Ovis aries: one gene and its partner. The protein of the gene in region 1 interacts with the protein of each later gene in a biochemical or structural test. Links are inferred from orthologs where the notes say so. Each region holds a gene or a part of one and is shown in the gene's direction. Other genes may lie near its edges.

Region 1 (10,570 bases):
GAACCAAAATTACGAAGAGCAGAAATCCTGGTTTGGTTTTGTGTGTCAGTGCTTGCCACACACCTCCTCTCTACCCACGCCAGTTTCCTGTTGGACACAGGGCATCAAGGAAGGGGCCTCAGAGACATGGATTAGTACAGAGAGAAGTCAGTCCCACCATTGTCATCTGTATACATTAACAAAGTCTTGACGAGAGCCTGCTTTTTGTTTGTTTTCCTTTAAAGTCCAACCCTATTGTATTTGTATTTAAAATTTGTACACATTTGTATAATAATCTGTTCCTTGTGGTATTTGGTACTATTAGAGGAAAAACTTTGGATTCAGACCTTCTTGCAGTTTTTATATCATTGTTTTATTTTGTTTTTTAAATAAATTCTAGCAGTTTGATCCAAATCCCATTACAGTTGTATAAAGAAATAAAATTTTGTACTTATATTATTAAAAATCACATTTTTAATATTTGTAGTCCAGTGTCAGCTATCTTTTTCCTGTGGCTAACCAAAGTTCCTATGAAATTTTAAACCTGTCTTTCACATTTGAAAAAAAAAAAAAAGCCCATCTGGAATAGAGGTCAAGTTTCTGATCAAAGCTAACAAACATCTTGCTCTGTTTCTATTAACTTTTACATTGAGGACTTTCATCTTCTCTTTTGCTAACTGCAAACCCAGTGGCTCTGTAAGTGTAGCTATCTTCACTGACAAATGAAATTGTACGCACATTACATTATTGGCCTAAGTCAAATATCTGTCAATCTTGTATAAGAGTCGCATTCAAATTGTGTGCTAAATCATGTGTTTCAGCACTGTTCTGATTTGCTGAGTTACAGTGGATTGGATAAATAACTTAATTTTTATAGGTATCTACAGTCCTGTCTATAAGTGTTAATGTCACTTCCCTGTCTCCAAGCCTTGCAGCCAGCCAGCCTGACATGTACGTTTAGTAATACTGTGAACATCTAATATATGAGTTTAGACCTTTCAAGGTAAAATTTTCAATGCAAACACAAGGTGTTAATAGTCATAAATAGCAAATAGTCATAAATAGCAAAATATTGGCTGTAAGCCTCACTTCTTACAGAGAGGCAGCAAGAAAGAGATCACCATATTGCTGAATGAAGAGAGTGCTTTGCATATTTTATTGCACTTAATCCTCCCCCAAAGCTTTATCAATATTATCCCCTTTTACAAAAGAGGAGACAGGTACAGGAAAGCACTTTCCCTGAGTTTAAACAGCTAAGTAAATGGCAAAGCCAGAATAAGCACACTGGAACAGCAAACCCCAAAGCCGAGGCTCTCTTCTACCCCAGTTCAGTTCAGTTCAGTCACTCAGTCGTGTCCGACTCTTTGCGACCCCATGAATCGCAGCACGCCAGGCCTCCCTGTCCATCACCATCTCCCGGAGTTCACTCAGACTCACGTCCATGGAGTCAGTGATGCCATCCAGCCATCTCATCCTCGGTCGTCCCCTTCTCCTCCTGCCCCCAATCCCTCCCAGCATCAGAGTCTTTTCCAGTGAGTCAACTCTTCGCATGAGGTGGCCAAAGTACTGGAGCTTCAGCTTCAGCATCATTCCCTTCAAAGAAATCCCAGGGCTGATCTCCTTCAGAATGGACGGGTTGGATCTCCTTGCAGTCCAAGGGACTCTCAAGAGTCTTCTCCAACACCACAGTTCAAAAGCATCAATTCTTCTACCCCAAGCCACCTTCAAATTTAAACTGTGTATGTAATTCATCGGAATCCTTCTCCATTATCTGCAGTCCTGAGCAAATGTGATTGCAGGAAAACTGTCAGAACTTTTCACTGTCCAAATGTTCTTTTGTCCTAGCTGGACTTTGCTATAGGGATCTCACTTTTCTTGTCATACTATGGTCTTTAAATTTTGGAAGCAGAGTATCTTAAATTCTTTGTTTAAATGTACTTAAAGGTTATAATCTTAATCATTTTGTTTAGATGTACTTAAAGGTTATAATCAATTATATTACATTTATGCATTGTCAATCTTAAGGGACTTCAACATTTTTATCCATAGTAAGGCATTTAATATTGATATTGCTAAAACGCTTAAAAGGAAAAATTAAAGACTATTTACTAAATGAGTTTGTTCCCTGTTAGGAAATAGTTTGAAGACATAGTTTTGTACTGCACTTAATGTTTGCCATTTACGTTACTATTTATTGTATTGACAAAATCTACACACTTCCATTTCTGATTTAATAGCTGTACAACTTTCTGTCTGCATGGAGTTAATATAATTTCACTCCCTGTTTGGGGGTATGTGGGTTGTTTCTGCTTTCTTACCATGAAGGATAAAACTTATGGCTGTTCTATTCTCTGTAGTAAAGCCAAGATCTGCCTATAATCACCTCAAACCAGAGTGATGCAAGAGGGCAAGAACTTCCAGTCATCCAACATAGGGATGGATATTAAAGGTTAATGGAAGAATCCAAAGGAAAATCATGCTAAATACATGCCATACTAACAAGCAATATGCTTAAATGAAAAAAAACATGGAAGGTACCTACCTGACATGAAAATGGTCATAAGTGCACATCCCCCCTTTATAGGCTAAATGCCACTGCTAATTTAAATTTTCAAGCATTAGTCATCATGCTGGACAACAGTGAGAGAAACAGACATAGCATCCCAGACTCAAGGAGCATCTAGACTACTGGGGGACTGGGCATATATTAACATGTCTCATGAGCATTATTAAAACACTTCAAAGCACAGGAGTACATGATTTCAATAAAGCTTTTATATCGTACAATAAAGATGTCAACTAAGAAATCCCAGGGCTGATCTCCTTGCAGTCCAAGGGACTCTCAAGAGTCTTCTCCACCACAGTTCAAAAGCATCAATTCTTCTACCCTATTGACTGCTCAGTTAACATACAGAAGTGATAAAGTTGTAATTCAGGTTTTCTATCATCCTAAATTTGTGAAATGTACTAGCCTTTCGAATTAAAAATTCACAAATACGTTCGATAGATACTAAAGCACCTTGCAGTAGCTCAGACTACCAAAGCAGTGGTTATTTTATCTTTTGGAGTGCATGCCATTAGAAGGAAAAAACTATAACCAATAGGTAAGATATCTAATGAGTAAGTGACACAGCTGAAACATGGCGCACGGGAGCATGGAAGAAGACATTTGAATTACAAAGCTGAAGAAAGCCTTTGAGATTCTTAGCTTGGAGTCCACTGGTGTACCTCAGGGACCCCAGAACCACCCTGAGGTACAATTCTATCTTGCCTTTTTTCTTCAGAAATGCTCCAGTGCTTTGTACAATTTCTCAAAGGATCCTGTGACCTAAGAAAATAAAGGTTAGAAGTCCTTGATCTAATTCCAGAATTCAGAGAAAATGGAAGCCTGCTGTTTGAATCACACCGTAAATGAATGGCAGAGATGTGTCCTAGGACCCACTCATAACATTTGTATGCTTTCTGCCACCTTGAGCTCTAGCCCATCACTAGCTGCAATTCATTGAGTTGTCTCTCAGTGTCAAGGTCTCGAAAAGCCTTTGCCCTTGCCTCCTATTTGAGGTAAGGGAATCTGGGCTGCAAACATGAAGCATTTTGCAGCCAGAAGACCTCAGCCTCAAACAGGAAGCGTCCTCTCTGGGTAGGGAGACAACAAGCCAGAGAGTCTATCAACCCCAGCAGCGGATGTGTAGTCATACTGAGGTCCCGGGGGACCGGACTGAGAGCTAGAGCTTTGGCCTCGGCTTGCTGGGTACCGTTACATATGTATGTTATATGTTAGTCGCTCAGTCGTGCCCGACTCTTTTCGACCCCCATGGACAGCAGTCCACAAGGTCCCTCTGTCCATGAGATTTTCCAGACAAGGATACTGGAGTGGGTTGCCATTTCCTTCTCCAGGGGATCTTCCCAACCCAAGGATCGAACCCAGGTCTCCTGCACTGCAGGCAAATTCTTTACTGACTGAGCTACAAGGGAAGCCCACGCAAATCATTTCCCGGGTCTAAGATTGGGTTTTCCAGGTGTTAAGAGCTCAAAGGCCACGCCCCTAAATCCTTCAGGACGCGTGGAGGGCGTGGCTTAGCGAAACCCACGCCCCCTCGTCGCCCTACGTACTGCGTGACGTCCGCCGACGCCTAGTTAACCGCAGTGAGGTCATCGCCCTCCGCCTCAGGGAGCCGACACTCCACGTCCGAGGCGGGGCCTGCGTCTAGGCTCCAGACTGCCTCTGCCCCGCCCCAGCCGCGCCTCCTCGAGGACGGTCCAGCGCATCACGTGACGGGTCCGCGGCGCTGGCGGTTGCTGTCAGCTGATCCCCGGCTTGGAGGCAGCGGCAGCAGTGGCGATGGACTTTCTCCTGGGGAACCCGTTCAGCTCTCCGGTGGGACAGCGCATCGGTGAGTCTCCGGGGCCCCGCGCAGGCCCAGCGCAGCACTCCGCATTCGACCCCGGCCCCCCAGGGTACCTCCAGGTCCCGAGTCACACACCAGAGGGAGGCAGGGAGGGGAGTGAGGCTGGCGTGTCTCTCTCAGACCCGGCCCCGCCCTGCCTCCCGCCTGCTTTGATTGACAAAAGCCACTGTCCACTAGGAAGCTTCGGATTGTGATGGATGCCCACGGAAGCCAATAAATAAAGAGGGGAGGCGGGCCCGGGCGGCCGCGGCTCAGCCAATGTGCAGCTGCTGGGGTCGCGAATCCAGGCAGAAAGTTTTAGGGGTTAAAGGGACTGCGTGGTTTTTGCAGTGTTTGGGTCCCTCGATGGTTTCTGTCATCGCCTCCCCCGCACGGGTTGCGCCACCTGGGCTCTTGCCATTTCCTTCCTGGCTCGTCTGGAGTTGCGAACACGGATACCTGAGAAGGGCTGGAAGTCCATTCTCAAGGACCAGGAGGCTGGGGCTTTGCGGCCTGGCGGGCAGGCGGCTGGGAGCCCTTCCTCCACCAAGCCGGGGCTAGACGCTAGGGAGCCCACCCCACGAGAAGGCCAGGCCAAATCCTCAGGAACTGCCGGCCATAGCCGCCTCACCAGCCGGCACCGAATGGACCGCGTGGAGTCGCAGACTTGGAGCTGGAAAGGATCTTCGAAACCACCTGATTTCAGCCTCCCTCATTTCTCAGCAGATGGGAGGCCCAAGCCCTCTGGGCGAGACACAGGCTCACTCAAGAGCCCAGGCTCCTGACTCTCTTGGCACCTGTTGAGCGGAGGCTTAGTAATGGTGCGGCGTTGGCTGTCTGTAGAGAGGATCCCTCCCCAGTGATTAGGGGATAATAATGATCCCTGCCTCCTTGGGGTTGTTTAGGTTAAACTCGTTCATAAGTGTGAAGGATTTAGTGCCTTCCACGTGGCAGATGCTCTGTAAAAGAAGGTGGTAATATTTATTGTTACTGAGACACCACCAAGTGCGGGTTCCAAAATCCTGAGAATGGCTAGACAGTTGGTCTCACAGACACTCATTCCTGCCCACCAACTCAGAGAGGACCCACAGGCCATGGCCGGGACACTTCTCCAGAACAGTCTGGTTGTGCTTCCTCGCCTGAATAAATCGAGGGAAGTACTGTGAAAGCCTCTCTCCATCTTTTTGATGATTTTTAGCCTTAAGTCCAGACTGGGAAAACTGGATCTTTTAGACAATACATTCTTTTCATTCTTGGTGCCTTAGAAGTCAAACCTCACTTAAGTCTGTTAACCCAGCTCTGTGTTGAAATCGCTGCCTGTGGCTGTTTGTGGCTCTTTTGAGGTTTTGTAATCAAATGTATTCAAGAGGATGCTGTCAGTAGAGTATTTACACACCAGGAAGTTCCTGGATCTGAGAGGGGCAGCTGCTCTCTCAGGACCCTCACCCACCTGCTACACAAACAGACACACACACTGATGAGTCATTGTTTGGGACTGAAAAGAGAAGGCAGTTCATCTCTTGTCTGTATTTCTCCAACTGCAGAAACCTCTGCTTTTATCACATGTCAAATTTGAGACTTCCTACACACCCACCCCCCAAAAAAGAAAAAAATTCTGGTTCACAGGCAGCCAAATATGCCTGAGTCTTTCTAGAAAAGCTCTTTGGGACTCCAGGCTTGAGGTAGTCAAACAAAAGAGCTTCTCTTCTTACCCTGAAGGGTTACCTGTCTTGGGCAAGAAATATTCAGTCCAAAGAGCATGCTACTAAACTCTTAGTCCCTTAGAGCACAGACCGTGTTTTACTGCAGGAACAGTCCTTATCCTAGGGCTCTTCTAATCCAGGGCTATCATCAGAATCCCCTGGAAGACTTGTTAAAGCATCAAAGGCCGGGCCCCACCCCCAGAGTTTGTGACTGTAGACCTGAGGTGGCCACCAGATTGAAAACCTCCATTGTAGCCCATCCCCTTCATTCTACACTGGAGACTGAGGCCAAGAGAGGGAAGGTGGAAAATAGGACTCACCCAAGACCCCAGTGATGTGGTCAGAAAGCTGAGAAGAACCCCTCTGAGTCCGTGAAATCTGAACCAAAGCTGAAGAGGCTCTAAAAGTACTATTAAATGAATAATGTCTGCTATTTGAGTTAATACCCTCAGTATTCCTTTTCTTCACCCCCGGGGTGTGGGGGAGCAACAGCCCTGATCAGCTGTAATTACTAATGACCTAGTATGAGCTGCTTTCATTTCTATAAACTGCAGGATTGAAATAATCTCTTCTCAAGCCTGCCGACTTCATCCCCCGGTTGAGCATAGAGCCCTGTCCAGTTGGCAGCACTGAGCACAGTAGGTCGTGATGGTCTAAATCAGAGCTCAGTGTCTCTCGACTCAGAAAGTTTCCAGTCACCCATTCACACCCCTTTCTGCTTGCTGCTCCCTCTGCCTGGAATGCCTGCTGCCAGTGCCTCCTTAAAGTTCCAGGCATCATCACCTACTCCAGGAGGCCTTCGCTGACCCCTTCAAATCCAGCCGTTGTTTTTGTGCCCTCCCATCACCCTAGCTCCTCAGGCTCACTCCCTGTCTGCCTTTGGGCTCTGCTTCCTGGGTGCAATGGTGGTTATGGCAGCATCCATTTCTCAGAGTGGTTGTGAGAGTGAAGTGAGATGCTCTCTGGAGAGGGCCTGGCACATTATTAGTTTGCAGAATACATCGTCATCATTTTTATTATTTTCACTGACGTCACACTAATAAAGCACCGTGGCATTCTGTTAGTAGTTGTGCGTGTGTTTCCCCTGCTGGACTAGGCTTTGTGAGAGCAGATGCTGAATCTTACTAATCCAGACCCTAGGTACTTAGCATAATGCTGACACATGACTGGAGGGAAGAAAGGAAAGTAACAGTTTGTGAGCAAACACCAGGTCCATACTTGTATCACAGTCCTATTGTCAAGCCCAAGTTTGTGTGCTGATGTGAGGTGAGGCCAAACAAACCAAAGCGGGAGTGTGGAGCAGAGAAAAGTGTATTACAAGGGCCAAGGAAGGAGATTGGGCTGTGCATGCTCAAAGACCCAAAACCCCATTGGTTTTCAGGGAGGAGCTTCTAAAGGCAAAATTAGGAGGAGGGTGGAACTCCAGGGTTTGTAAATATCTTCTGATTGGTTGGTGGGAGGTAACAAGGTGGGGCTCCAGGAATCTTAGGCATCAGCCTTCTGGTTCCATCCAGTCTGTGGTCTCCGTGCTTGTGCAGACCTGAAGTCACCATCATCCACCTGGGTGGGGCCCCAGCTCCTATAGTAGAACTCAGAGATGTGTATCAGATTGTCAAGTAAATCCCTCGAGAAGGAACTAGGACTCTTTTTTTATTGTTGCGCTATTGTTTCTTGATTGCTTTTCCTTTGTTTCTGGGTTCCCTCCCTCCCCTAATCATTAACTGAATCTGCCTTTTGGAACTCAGGGAAGATTTAGGAGACAGATGACTTTTCCGCAAAAACAAGAAACAGGGGACACTGAAAAGCTTTCGTACCCAGAAGGGCCCCGCAGGATACCAGTGGGGATACGCCTTTTCTTTAATACTCTTCAGTCTTGTGGGGAACAGGTGTGGGACAAGAAAGGGAATAAAGTTTTGAATAAAGAAATTAATATGAAGTTGACAGAGGAACTCAGTTTTAAGGGGAGTCTGTTTCAAGCATGCAAGGTTCTGCTGTTTTTTCCAATCACCAAAAGTAAGTCTGAAGGAAGGTGTCACTTCCAAGGTTTCCCAGCTTCCTAGAGTCGGGACCCAGACCCAGGTCTCTGCCTGCAGAACTGAGGTCCTCTCGCACCCTCACCATCCTGCCTCTGGCTGGTCAACACCTGTTTGGAATTTGGAGCAACCCAGCCCTCCAGCAGCCACAGTTACTGTTTGACCCACAGACCAGCTTTTCCGCTTGTGGCGCTTGCTGGGCCCTGAATGTTTCCAGGTCACTCGTGCTCAGTCAGTCAGTCGTGTCCAACTCTTTGTGACCTCGTGGACTATAGCCCACCAGATTCCTCTGTCCATGAGATTTCCCAGGCAAGAATACTGGAGTGGGGTGCCATTTCCTCCTCCAGATCACTAAAGAATCCACTGTCAACTAAAGAATATGCACAACCTAAAAGCTGAGGCTTTTAGGAGCCCTCACTGAGAACTACAGCCTTGGAGGCAGTCTCTCAGATAGCTCTGAGGGACTGTTCCAAAGAGGTCAGGGAGAAGCCAGGAGATACAGGAGTTTTTGCTGGGGGAAGGCAGATGGAGGGGGCGTGGGGGGACACACAGTCAGACATCAAAAGATGACTGCTAATCACAAAAAGCAGATACCTCAAATTAATGTTTTAGTGCTTTTCTCTGTGTGGGAAGCTGCAAGAGTCTGGGCTGTTTGAAGTCATTCCTTTGGTTTGCATCTTCACTATCTAGGCCCAGTATACTCTTTTTCTCCATCCTGAACTCTGCTCAAGGTGCACTTCAGTGAAGGGAGGGTGCACTGTAACCAAAGGCTTGATGGCCACAAGTGCTTTTGTTTACTGAAATGGTGGGTGATGCTTTATCTATCAGGAAAGCTTCCAGTGGACAGCAGCCTATGGCTGAAAGGACCCTAGATAGTGAGTACTAGCTGGTGTTGACACAGCCCTCTTCTTCCAAGGATTTTAAAACCCATCTCAGGTATTCTCTGATGACAGCCCTGGCTGGCCGTGTTTTAAAAACCCAGTTTTCCACCTCCAGCTGTCAGCTCACCCAGCACTTTGACTGGAGGCGCAGCTGACCCAGGAGAGCCAGCTGCAAACAGCAGAGACTCTAGACACAGGCAGTGCCTGGGGACCACCCCCTAGTCGTGGGGCAGGAGGAAAGCTCAGAGCCTAAGCCTGAACCCTGGGGTGGATGGGAGAGGTGAAAGGTCAGGGAGAGCCACTCTTAGCCCCATAAAGGCCAAGCCAAGGGGCTGCCAGAAGGCATCATAGATGGGAGACCATAGGCATTAGCAGGAAGAGAGCCCCACAGGCCCTCAGGGCTGCCCTTTGGGGAGCAATAAGTGGAAACCAAACTGGACATTCAGGTGTGTTGTCAAGGGGACGCCAGGCTAGGTGGCAGAAGACCTGGGTCCGGCTCATGTTCGCTCCTGACTGTCTCGTTCCTTCTCACCACTTTCTGTTAGGGACCATCACTCTCCCTCATTCACAGAGGACTGAACAACTGAGGGGACGGTGAGGACAGCGTAGGTTGATTCTAGAGAGAAGAAAGAAATGGATGGGTACTGGGGGAGGAGTGATGGAACCGATTCCATCACTCCAAGGAGCCCAGTGCCAGCACGGTTCACAGCAGGACTGGGTGAGCTCCCCACCACTGGAGGTATGGAGGGGAGGGAGGCTGTAAGCAGGATGTTGCGTGGCTGGCAGGGTAGACTGGACCAGGATTTGCAAACTTTTTCTATAAAGGGCCAGAGAGTAAATATTTTCAATTTTGTGGGCCGTATGGCTTCTGCTGCAATCCGTTGGCCTCTGCCCTCAGAGCACAGAAGCAGACAGACAATGTCAGTGAAGGGACATGGCTGTGTTCCAATCAAACTTCATTTATGGATACTGAAATGGGAATTTCATGTAATTTTCCTGTTATGAAATGATCTTTGGAATTTTTTTTTCAACCATTTGAAACTGTAGAGAGTATTCTTAGCTTGTGGGCCATGCAAATGCAGACTCCTTTTGGCACATGAGTTTATAGTTTGCTGACCTCTTGACCAGAGGCAGAATGATTGAGGGCATTGTGCTTCAAAATGGGGTCCCAAAGCATCCCTGTTAGAGATGCTTGAGAATGCTCCAATTCTGGACCCCCTGAGTCAGAATCTCTACCACTTCCTACTCTTAGCTATGGGGAGCCCTTGCAACTTGGAGCTCCGATTCCTTGATCTGTAAGTGCTGGCACCAGGTTAGAATCCAAAATTTGTGTCTTAAGGATAACAGGGACTAATATCTAGAAAGGACTTTGAGTCAGATGGCCGCATAGAGTGTGTTCCTGAATCAGACCAGGTGGTCCAAATCCTGGTTTATCCATCATCTGCTTTGTTACCTGAAGCAAGTTACTTAACCTCTCTGTTCTCCAATTTCCTGTCTTAAAAATAAAGATAATAATAGCAGGGATCAGTCAGGATTGGGAAGTTCAGCCATGTAGGGAGGTTCTCATATGGCCAGGTTGTGAAGCA
Region 2 (9,228 bases), on another chromosome or scaffold:
GGGCAGCTGCCTGGACTGGGAGTCTCTGGGTTCCGTGCTGCTGCGCCAGCTCTCGGCTGTGACGACCCCCCACCCCCCACCCAGGCCTGAGCCTGGCCCGCTGTCCAGTGGCTCCCGTGTGGGCTGTGCGGACCCAGAACCAGCATGAGGACGATGAAGGGGGTGCACAGCCCCGGGAGTTGGCTCACGGCAGGGCACACGGGCTGGAGGAGTGGAGCTGCCGTTCCTGACCATCACCTGGCCCCGCGCGGCCTGTTCCCCGCGGGGTCCTCAGGGCTGGGTGGGCGGCCGCTCCGAAGGACAGTGGGCGTGGTCACCGGGAGTCAGGGGTGAAGCGCCGGGCAGGCCACGGCGGGGCTATGGGCAGCAAGTGGCCCGAGGGCTCTCGGCGGGTGTGTTGTGGGCACAGGGGGTCTGGTCTTGGCGCCGTGGAACTGGGAACTGGTGTGTCCCGGGTGCCTCAGCCCTTACCGAGGGTGCGGCCGCAGGGTGTCACAAGCTGCCTGCCTCCCGGGGCCCGGGCTGGGGCCTGCTCTGCTGCGCCATCGCCCAGGAGATGCACCCCACAGCGCCTTGGGGAGCGAAGGAAGGTGCTGAGCTTTTCCTGGCAACGCAGGCTCCAGGGCGCCTGGGCCCCGCCCTGCGCTGGGCCTTGAGGCAGCGGAGCTGGGGGATGCGGAGTGGAGCCCGGTGTCCCCAGGGGGCAGGCCACCGGGGACAGTGGCGAGAGTGCCCGTCAGAAGGGCCTCTCTGCCTCCACAGTTCCCGTCTGTCCCGCCGTTGGCGTCAGACTCTCGGGGCCTCTCTTCGTTGTACGGGTGCTGGTTCTGGGGTGAGCGCCAGCACGCAGGAGTGAGGGCACCCTAGAGCCGGCAGGCGCGCTCCCAGGCAGGTGGGTGCCGTCTGGACGCCCACCCCATGCCGTCTGGTCAGCCTCGCGGGAGCCTTGGCGTCTGGCAGCGTCTGGTGGTCCCTGGCAGCCACTGTCCATAAACGCAATTGCCAGGGCTCACCACGACATGCAGGGCCTTCTCTCCCGTGTCCCCTGAAGCTGCCACGTTCTTCGGGTCCCTGCACAGGGGTCTGGGGCCCCTGCGCTCTGGGCACTGAGCGGGGCTGTGGCCCTGGTTCCCCCCTGCAGCCAGGCCTCTGTCGTGGGTCCTGGGCCCTGGCTGCACTGTGCCCCCCTGGCCCTGCACCCCCCCCCACCCGGCAGAGAGCAGAGGCGGGGGGGTCCAGGTTCCTGAGCACCCGGGGGGTGGGCCGCCTGCCCTGGGGGGCATCTCTCTGTGCTCACCGCCCTGGCGGAGCCCAGCTGGCCCGAACTTGGTCTCCTGTGGTCTCCTTGGAGTTGTCGCCGTCAGACCGCACATCCTCCGCGCGCGGGTGTGTGCCCAGGCGCCCTTCCGCCGCCTTCCCTCTCCAGGGCCGGGTCCCGTGGCCTTTGCTGGTCACTCTGCAGGCTTCTTGGTCTTCAGGGCGCTTCTGCAGGCGAGCTGTTCTCCCGAGGCGTCTGCACAGAGGCTGCTCCGAGTCTCTGGGCATCTGGGCCTCAGGCTTCACCCAGTGAACAGCTTGTGGTGGAGAGGCCGTGCTCACCATGGTCCTGGTCTGTGGCTGGGACCGCCAACACGCGACAAGCGCATCTGAGGCCTGAGAGCAGCTTGCAGCCCCGGCGAGGATGCGAGATGTGCTTTCAGGCAGGGACGTGCTCGGGCCTCCACGGAGCCCCATGTGCTGGGCGCCCTGCCCCCGGGAGCACAGGCCCTAGGGGGCCTGCAGGCTGGAGCCCCAGACCCGCGTGGTGCAGCAGGGGGCCGGGCCAGGGCGGGCGGCCCCGCGCTGATGCCGTGGTCCCGCAGGTGTACATCGGGGAGCTGCCCCAGGACTTCCTGCGCATCACGCCCACGCAGCAGCAGCAGCAGATCCAGTTGGACGCACAGGCCGCGCAGCAGCTGCAGTACGGAGGGGCGCTGGGCACCGTGGGCCGCCTCAGCGTCACCGTGGTGCAGGTGGGTGTGGCTCTCAGAGCCCGTGGGGCCGAGCGCGGGCGCCGAGGGTCGGGGGCAGCAGTGGGCGGCCGGAGGCTACTGTGGAGAGCGTGGGTTGAACTGGAGTCCCCACCCATGGGCTGGGGGCAAGGGCGGGGGATGAGGGGCAGCGAGCAGCGTGGGGCAAGTAAGTGGGAAGCGGACAGCTCATCCCGAGCTGGGTCCAGGGCTCCCTCGGGCTCTGTGTCAGGAAGATCGTGGGCAAGGCTGGAAGGCCCCGAATTTGGCCTCCTGGGGGCATCCAGCCCAGTTCGAGAGCCCTCAAGTTGGGGCGGGAGGAGGGTGTGTGACCCCGCGGCCTGTCGCCGGCACCAGGGGCGGTGGGCAGTGGCCAGAAAGGGGAGACTGCAGGAGCAGGTGGGGAGGAGAGCCACACTTCAGTGTCGGACGCGTTCAGTCGAGGGTGCTTGAGAGGATGTGCCTGAGGCTCAGAGATGACTTCAGGGGGAGGTCCTGCGGTGACAGGAGGTGTGTGTCTGGAGGTGGGCCAGCTGGTCCTACGTGGAGGGGCGGCTCTGGGGCATGATCGCGGGCAGGCGTGCCAGAGCTCAGGGGGTGTCAGCCCGAGAGGGGTGCAAGGAGGCTCCCAATGGGCGGGGCTTCCACAGAGCCTTTGTCGGGAAGAGATGGCGTCTCACAGGCAGCAGGCTCTAGGGGCTTTTAAAAAGAATCGGCCTGTTGAGTGTGACATACGTGTCAGGACGCACTGGTTTGAATTAACGTGCTTTTGTTTCTGTGACCTCTCGACACGTGTGTCCACCCCTGTGATAAGAGCGTTTCTCCAGCACCACGGAAAGTTCCCTTCCCTCTGGCTGTCACGGGCCTGCCCTCAGGCCCCAGGTGCTTCCTGGAGTCTGTCCGTTGCTCAGCAGGAACCAGGGCGCTAGCCCTGGTCACCGTGAGGCGTGGGCTCCAGGGGATCAGGCCCCTCGGAGCGGATTCCTGGCCCCCCGGGCACTGGGCAGGGTCAGTCACTGCTGAGAGAGTCCTGCCCGGTCAGGGGGCCGGCACGGTCACTGTCTGAGGATGCAGAGAAGGCCTTGGCCAGGCCTCGCTTCTCAGGGGGCCCCTGACCCCTGCTTCTCCGGGGCTCAGACTCTGTCCCAGGACGGCCTGCCCTCTCCACCCTCCTCCCCAGGAGTCGGGGGGACCCAGCCCCGCCCAGCAGTGGGTGTGTCCTGAGACGCTGGGCCCAGCCCAGACCACCTCCTGGTTCCTGGGCCCCGAAGCACAGTTGTCCTCGGAACGGGCTCTGGGACCCCACAGACAGCACAGTCTGAGGACGCTCAAGGCCGCTACCTGAAACAGTGCAGGTCTGCACGTGGCCTGCACAGATCCCATGTGCTCAGAGCCATCCCTGGGTTACTCATGACACCTAGCATGCCGAACACGCCGCGTGAGCTCGGTTGTTATACGGTACAAGGCTGTAAACCCAGTTGCTGGTGTGGCAGATTCAGGTTTTGCTTTTGGAAGTTTCTGGAATGTTCTTTCCTGGTCCAGCGCCTTTCTCTTTCACTTTGGACCTGTGGTTGTGGAGGGCCGACAGCACAGTGGTGGCCGTGTCCAGTGGGTCAGCACCCAGAGCGCCCTGGAAGCCGTGGGTGGCGGGGAGGCTCCCAGGCTCACGGCTGCGGCCCCGTCTCACGCGGCGGCTTTGTTTCAGGCCAAGCTGGCGAAGAACTACGGCATGACCCGCATGGACCCCTATTGCCGCCTGCGCCTGGGCTACGCCGTGTACGAGACGCCCACGGCCCACAACGGCGCCAAGAACCCGCGCTGGAACAAGGTCATCCAGTGCACCGTGCCCCCGGGCGTGGACACCTTCTACCTGGAGATCTTCGACGAGGTGGGCACCACGCGGGCCGCTGCGGCTCAGGCTCCCGGCTGCTCCAGAACGTCGGGCGTGTGTGCAGGGGGGGTGCTGTGGTGTGACAGGCGCTCTGTGCCCCCAGAGTCTCTGGAACCTACACTCAGACACGTCACCGCCATGTCCGGAGCGTGGGCGTCGCCCGACCAGTCAGGCCAGGCACTGCTGTCCGCACGTGGCTCAGGGCTGACACGGTCAGGCCCTGGCAGGGTGGGCACTGGCCTCTTTGTGGGGGAATGGCAGGAGCCTCCTGAGTGTCCCCGGGGTGTCGGGAGCCCCAGGCCCTTCTCAGCCTGGCCCTCCACGTGCCCCAGCCCTTCTGAGGCTGGCTCAGAGTGGGGTGGGCGGCAGGGCTGGGAGAGGCTGCGGTCCTCAGGGGTTGGGGTGGAGCGGGAGGGGAAGGCGTGGTTCAGGGGAGCGCGTGTCCGGGGGCCCGGCCCCGCGGGTTGGTGCAGGCGGCGCTGGTGGCTCATTGGAGCCCCTCCCTCCGTGTGGGCCCGCAGGAGGGGAGCGAGGCGGGGGCTCCATGCTGTGCACACCCTGCGGGGGGAGGGCCCTGGGGGCTCTGGGCTCACATGCCGTCTCCCGTCTCCCCCAGCGGGCCTTCTCCATGGATGACCGCATCGCCTGGACGCACGTGACGATCCCCGAGGCGCTGAAGCAGGGCAAGGTCGTGGACGAGTGGTACAGCCTGAGCGGGCGGCAGGGCGACGACAAGGAGGGGATGATCAACCTGGTGCTGTCGTACACGGTGAGGCCGCCGCGCCTGCCCGGTGCTCCCCGCGCGGGGGCGGGCCGGCGGACCCCCAGCCTCGGGGCCGCCGCGCTGGTACCTGCTCACCCCTTCCTGGCACTGGATCAGTCACTGCGGGTTCCCACATCAGCACGTTTCTGCTGGGTGCATCCTACCTGTTCAGCAGACGCTTCCATGTGGATGGGACGCTGCTGCTGTGTCTAACTAACTGCAGCCAGAGAGAGGCTGTCTGGGACGGCAGGGGTTCGAGCCTGAAGCGTGCGCTCCGGCTCGCAGCCTGGAGCAGCGTCCTCTCCCGATGGGCTCTCAGTCGTGTCCTGCGGCTCTGACGACAGGCGCCTTCCACCCGCGTCGTCCTCTGCCCGCAGAGGGGCCTGTGGGGAGGCGGTGTGAACGGGCGTCTGAGGTTGGGGACAGGGCGCGTCCTAGCCTCGACTGTGGGGCCCCAGGCCTGGTGCTGCCCCCCACCCCAGCTTTTGGTGAGGCGGCGGGGGGGGTGTTCTGCTGTGACCCTGGGGTCATCTTTGGTGTGTTTCAGTCGCTGCCGGCTGCCATGATGATGCCGCCTCAACCCGTGGTCCTGATGCCCACCGTGTACCAGCAGGGTGTGGGCTATGTGCCCATCACAGGTGCGTCTCCCCTCCTCGCGGCGCGTCTCCTGGGGTGGCCTCAGAGCAGGAGGGAGGTGCGTGGGGTGTCAAGCTAGAGGCTGGGCCTGGTCTGCAGGCGGTGCCTGGAGAGCCTGCCCAAACCGGGGGTCCGCTGTCCTGTGTTGGCTTCTCCTGCACGCTTAGGGGGTAGGATTGTTTTTTTTTCTGTCAGTGCAGAAAAGTTGAGTTAAGTGTATGGAGATGGGGAAGCATGGTTTCTGAGTCGCTGTAGCACAAGGTCATGTCCTTTCGGGTGGATGGACGGACTGCACGCCCGAGCCTGCCTGCGTCTGTCGCGTCCATTCCCCGTGCGCGGCTCTCGACCTCTCGCAGTGTTCACCTTTGTGAGCCGGCGGTTCACGCGCAGCGGAGTCGAGTAGGGTGTGGCTTTTCTCGTGGATTTCTGTGCCTTCACGTCAGCCTGTGGTCAGTTCCCACCCAGGCTCTGACTGGAAGTGACTCAGTCCCCCTGCCTGTGAACGTCTGTAGGACGGGGTGGGACGCAAGCGTGGGAGGCTCAGAGCCTGGGAGACGGGAGAGGATGCGAGGGTGCTGTGCGCACGGTGGTGGCCGTGTCCCTGAGAAACCTCTGAGCTCTTGAGCAGAGTGCGGGGAAGAGTGAGGGCTGGAGCGGGAGGGAGGGGCCGGGGGGCAGCGGGAGGGAGGGGCTGGGCCCTGCGGCTGCCTCGGGTGCGCGTCCGGCCCCGCAGGCAGCCGTGTCCATCGCAGGCTTGGTCCCACCCCTGCGGCCGGCACCCCTGTACCTCAGCGCTTGTCGGCTCTTCTGCTGGTTTTGGTTTGGAAGGTTTTGAGCTGCCTTTAAGGTCTTCTGAGCTCAGACAGGAAAGGAGACCATGTGAGCTGTTGGGCCTGGTTGGGGGACTGTGCTTTTGAGTTTCTAAAGACAGGTAGTTTTGCAGCCGCTTCCGCCCTTCAGAGCGCTGTCTGGCCAGGGCTGTCTCTGAAGCCGCGGGACCTCAGCAGCTCTGTCTTTCCTTTTGCTGGTCTGTTTTCCTCACAAGACAGTCGGAGCTTTGACTTGGGTTCTGGTGGCTCCAGGTCTGAGTCTTCCAGCAGCTGAGATGCCTTGAGCTTCTCAGCGTCCACATGGGAGTGAAGGGGTGCGGCTGGTGTGGCGAGCTGACACCGGAGCCCCACGTGCTGCCCGTGTGGAGCAGGGGGGGGTCTGCCGTCCTCAGGACGCTGGGCCCGGTGGGGTCTCCTTCCTCGACGGGGTCTGACTGGGACTGGGTGCCCAGCTGGGAAGGCCTGTCCTGGAGGGCCGGCAGAGGGGCCGGCGGGGGAGTCTCGGTGCTCGGGGTTGGGGGGGTGGCAGCTGGGGGTGGCCGTGGTGCGAGGGCTTGACCCCCGTGGTGTAAATGGCTGAGGTCTGCTCACCCCCATTTTTCCTGAGCGTCTGGCCTATCTGAGAGGCAGTGTCCGGGGCCGAGATCTCTGGGGTGATGTTGGGGTGAGGGGGAGACCTCTGGGTCATGTCGGGGGTGGGGGGAGACCTCTGGGGTCATGTCGGGGGTAGGGGGAGATCTCTGGGGCAGTGTTGGGGTGAGGGGGAGACCTCTGGGGTCATGTCGGGGGTGGGGGGAGACCTCTGGGGTCATGGGGTGAGGGGGAGATCTCTGGGGTCATGTTGGGGTGAGGGGAGACCTCTGGGGTCATGTTGGAGGTGGGGGGAGATCTCTGGGGTCGTGTTGTGGGGGAGACCTCAGGTGAGACCTGGGCTCCGCAGCAGAGGGGCTGCCCACTGAGCTTGCCTCTGCTTGCAGGGATGCCCGCCGTGTGCAGCCCCGGCGTGGTGCCTGTGGCGCTGCCCCCAGCCGTGAGCGCCCAGCCCCGCTGCCGTGAGGAGGACCTGAAGGCCATCCAGGACATGTTCCCCAACATGGACCGGGAGGTGATCCGCTCCGTGCTGGAGGCCCAGCGGGGCAGCAGGGACGCAGCCATCAACTCCCTGCTCCAGATGGGCGAGGAGTCCTAGACATGCCCGCCGTCTCGCCGCCTGCCCGCCCGCCCAGCTCTCCCGAGCACTGTCCCCAGCAGATCCCCGTGAACATGCCCCGCGTAGCCCCTTCCTTGGACGTCCGTGTTGCCGTCCTCGCCCTCGTTGGGATGCATGTGGTTTTGGTTCTTGGAGCCGTTCTCCACGTGGTCGGGGCGGGGGGGGGTGGCTCTCCTCTCGCTTCCTGAAGGGTGGAGGCGGCGCGTCCCGTGCACACGCCCACTTCCTGCTGGCCGTCCTCCCGGGAGCCTCTCCTGGGAGCAGCTCCCCCGCAGGGCCTCGGTGCTGGGCCCCTTCTGGGTTGACAGGTGGTCTCTCATGATGCCGCCTGCCTGGGTAGACACACTAACAGCTGCTGTGGGTCGTGTTAGGGCTTCAGGACAAGAAGCTCCGCTCCTCCCCGTGGCGGTCTCCCTGGGCGCCTCGCTGGGGTCGGGTGGACCTTGCCTCGGGGCCCAGCCTGGCGTCTGCAGCCACGTCCTGAGCCCGCGGCCCCGTAGTCTTTCCTGCTGCCTCGCCCTCCATGCCGTGTTGTCCCGAGGGGTCGCCGCCCCCAGACGCGCGCTGACTGTAGAGCTCGCTGAGGTGGGTGTCGGGAGCAGACCCAGCCCTCGTCCCCGTCTGTCAGAGGCCTCTGAACTCTCAGCTCACCGCCGACCTTGTGTAGGAAGCTGGGCCGCAGGCTGGGTCAGCGTGGTGACCGCCGGCACTGGGAGGTCTTCCCGAGAGGCAAGAGGCAACCTGCGGTGTGGGCGGCACCCTGCCGCCTCTGGCCGTGGACACTGAGGATGGGGCCAGCTGGGTGGAGCCCCATGGAAATGAGAACACGGTGCGGCCAGCCACGGTTGCCGCTCTGCCTGGAGGCCTTGCCCGGCCTCTGGACATGGAGACAGACCCCACCCCGAGGCGGTGAGGACTCAGACAGACCCCAGTCCTGTCCCTGACGTAGGCTTAGCGTGAAGCTGGCCAGCGGTCAAGCCAACCAGACCCCTCCCGTGGCGGCCCGGTGGCAGGGAGGCTTGCGAGGGGGGTTCAGACCACCGGTGCCTTTGCCGCAGGCGCTCGGTAGATGCGTGAGACCAGCGGCTAAACAGCCGCACGCTGGCTGCAGCACGGTGACCACACAGCGCAACTCTGATGGCTGACCCCAGCCCGGGCGGCCCCACGCTGCCTCCCCGCCGCCGCCTCCCCCTGCCTGGGCCTCCGAGGACAGGAGACTTGGCTTCAGGGTGGCTGAGACCTGCCAGCTCGGGGTCCTTTGTCGCGGACGCCTGCTGCTGCACTGGGTCAGAGGAGGGCGCATCAGTAGGGCCTCGAGATGTCCGGTGGCCCTGCTGTCCCTGCTGCTCTGCTCACGTCCGTGCTCGTGTCCAGGCCGCCCCTCGGGGGGCACTAAGCACGGCGCCTGTGGCTGCCGGGCCCAGGACTGGGGTGCCTCACAGGTGGTTGTTGCTTGGTGTCGGAGAGGAGAGGCGTGTACAGCAGGCTCCCCACCCCACTCCCGTTTCAGGAGCCCTGCTGGGTGTTTGCAGAAATGGTCCTTGGAGCTTTGCGTTTCAGATCATTCTGTTGGGGTCCAGGGTCCAGATTCCTCTTTGATTGTAAGATATGTTTGTACCTTTCAGCCTTCTAACTTAATAAATGATCTATGTAAAAACAAAGTCCAGTTCTTCAAAGAGAATTTACTGTTTTTATTCCACTTTAATCTGGCTTGTAATAAGCCAGTTGATGAAACGGTCACCAGCAGACTAGTGAGTGAAGGCACAGGGCAGAGGCTGGACTCTGCCCGGGAGCCTAGAGTGTGAGCATGGAGCTCAGTGTGTGCACGGAGCCTGGCGTGCAGGCACGAAGCCTGCAGGGAGCAAGCCTACAGAGGATGTTAGCACCCT

What was found.
Region 2: the proteins of TOM1 (region 1) and TOLLIP form a complex in vitro, tested with the Homo sapiens proteins (3 studies listed by BioGRID and IntAct, with this or other methods). The link is inferred for Ovis aries from reciprocal best matches to the Homo sapiens genes TOM1 and TOLLIP.

The regions. Positions count from the first base shown.
Region 1 is NC_056056.1:179,157,903-179,168,472, forward strand, and holds the start of TOM1 (target of Myb1 membrane trafficking protein), read left to right. Parts: upstream 1-4,294; 5' UTR 4,295-4,321; coding exon 4,322-4,373; intron 4,374-10,570.
Region 2 is NC_056074.1:46,569,802-46,579,029, forward strand, and holds the end of TOLLIP (toll-interacting protein), read left to right. Parts: intron 1-1,862; coding exon 1,863-2,012; intron 2,013-3,714; coding exon 3,715-3,897; intron 3,898-4,516; coding exon 4,517-4,669; intron 4,670-5,210; coding exon 5,211-5,301; intron 5,302-7,106; coding exon 7,107-7,318; 3' UTR 7,319-9,000; downstream 9,001-9,228. UniProt on the Homo sapiens protein: Component of the signaling pathway of IL-1 and Toll-like receptors. Inhibits cell activation by microbial products. Recruits IRAK1 to the IL-1 receptor complex. Inhibits IRAK1 phosphorylation and kinase activity.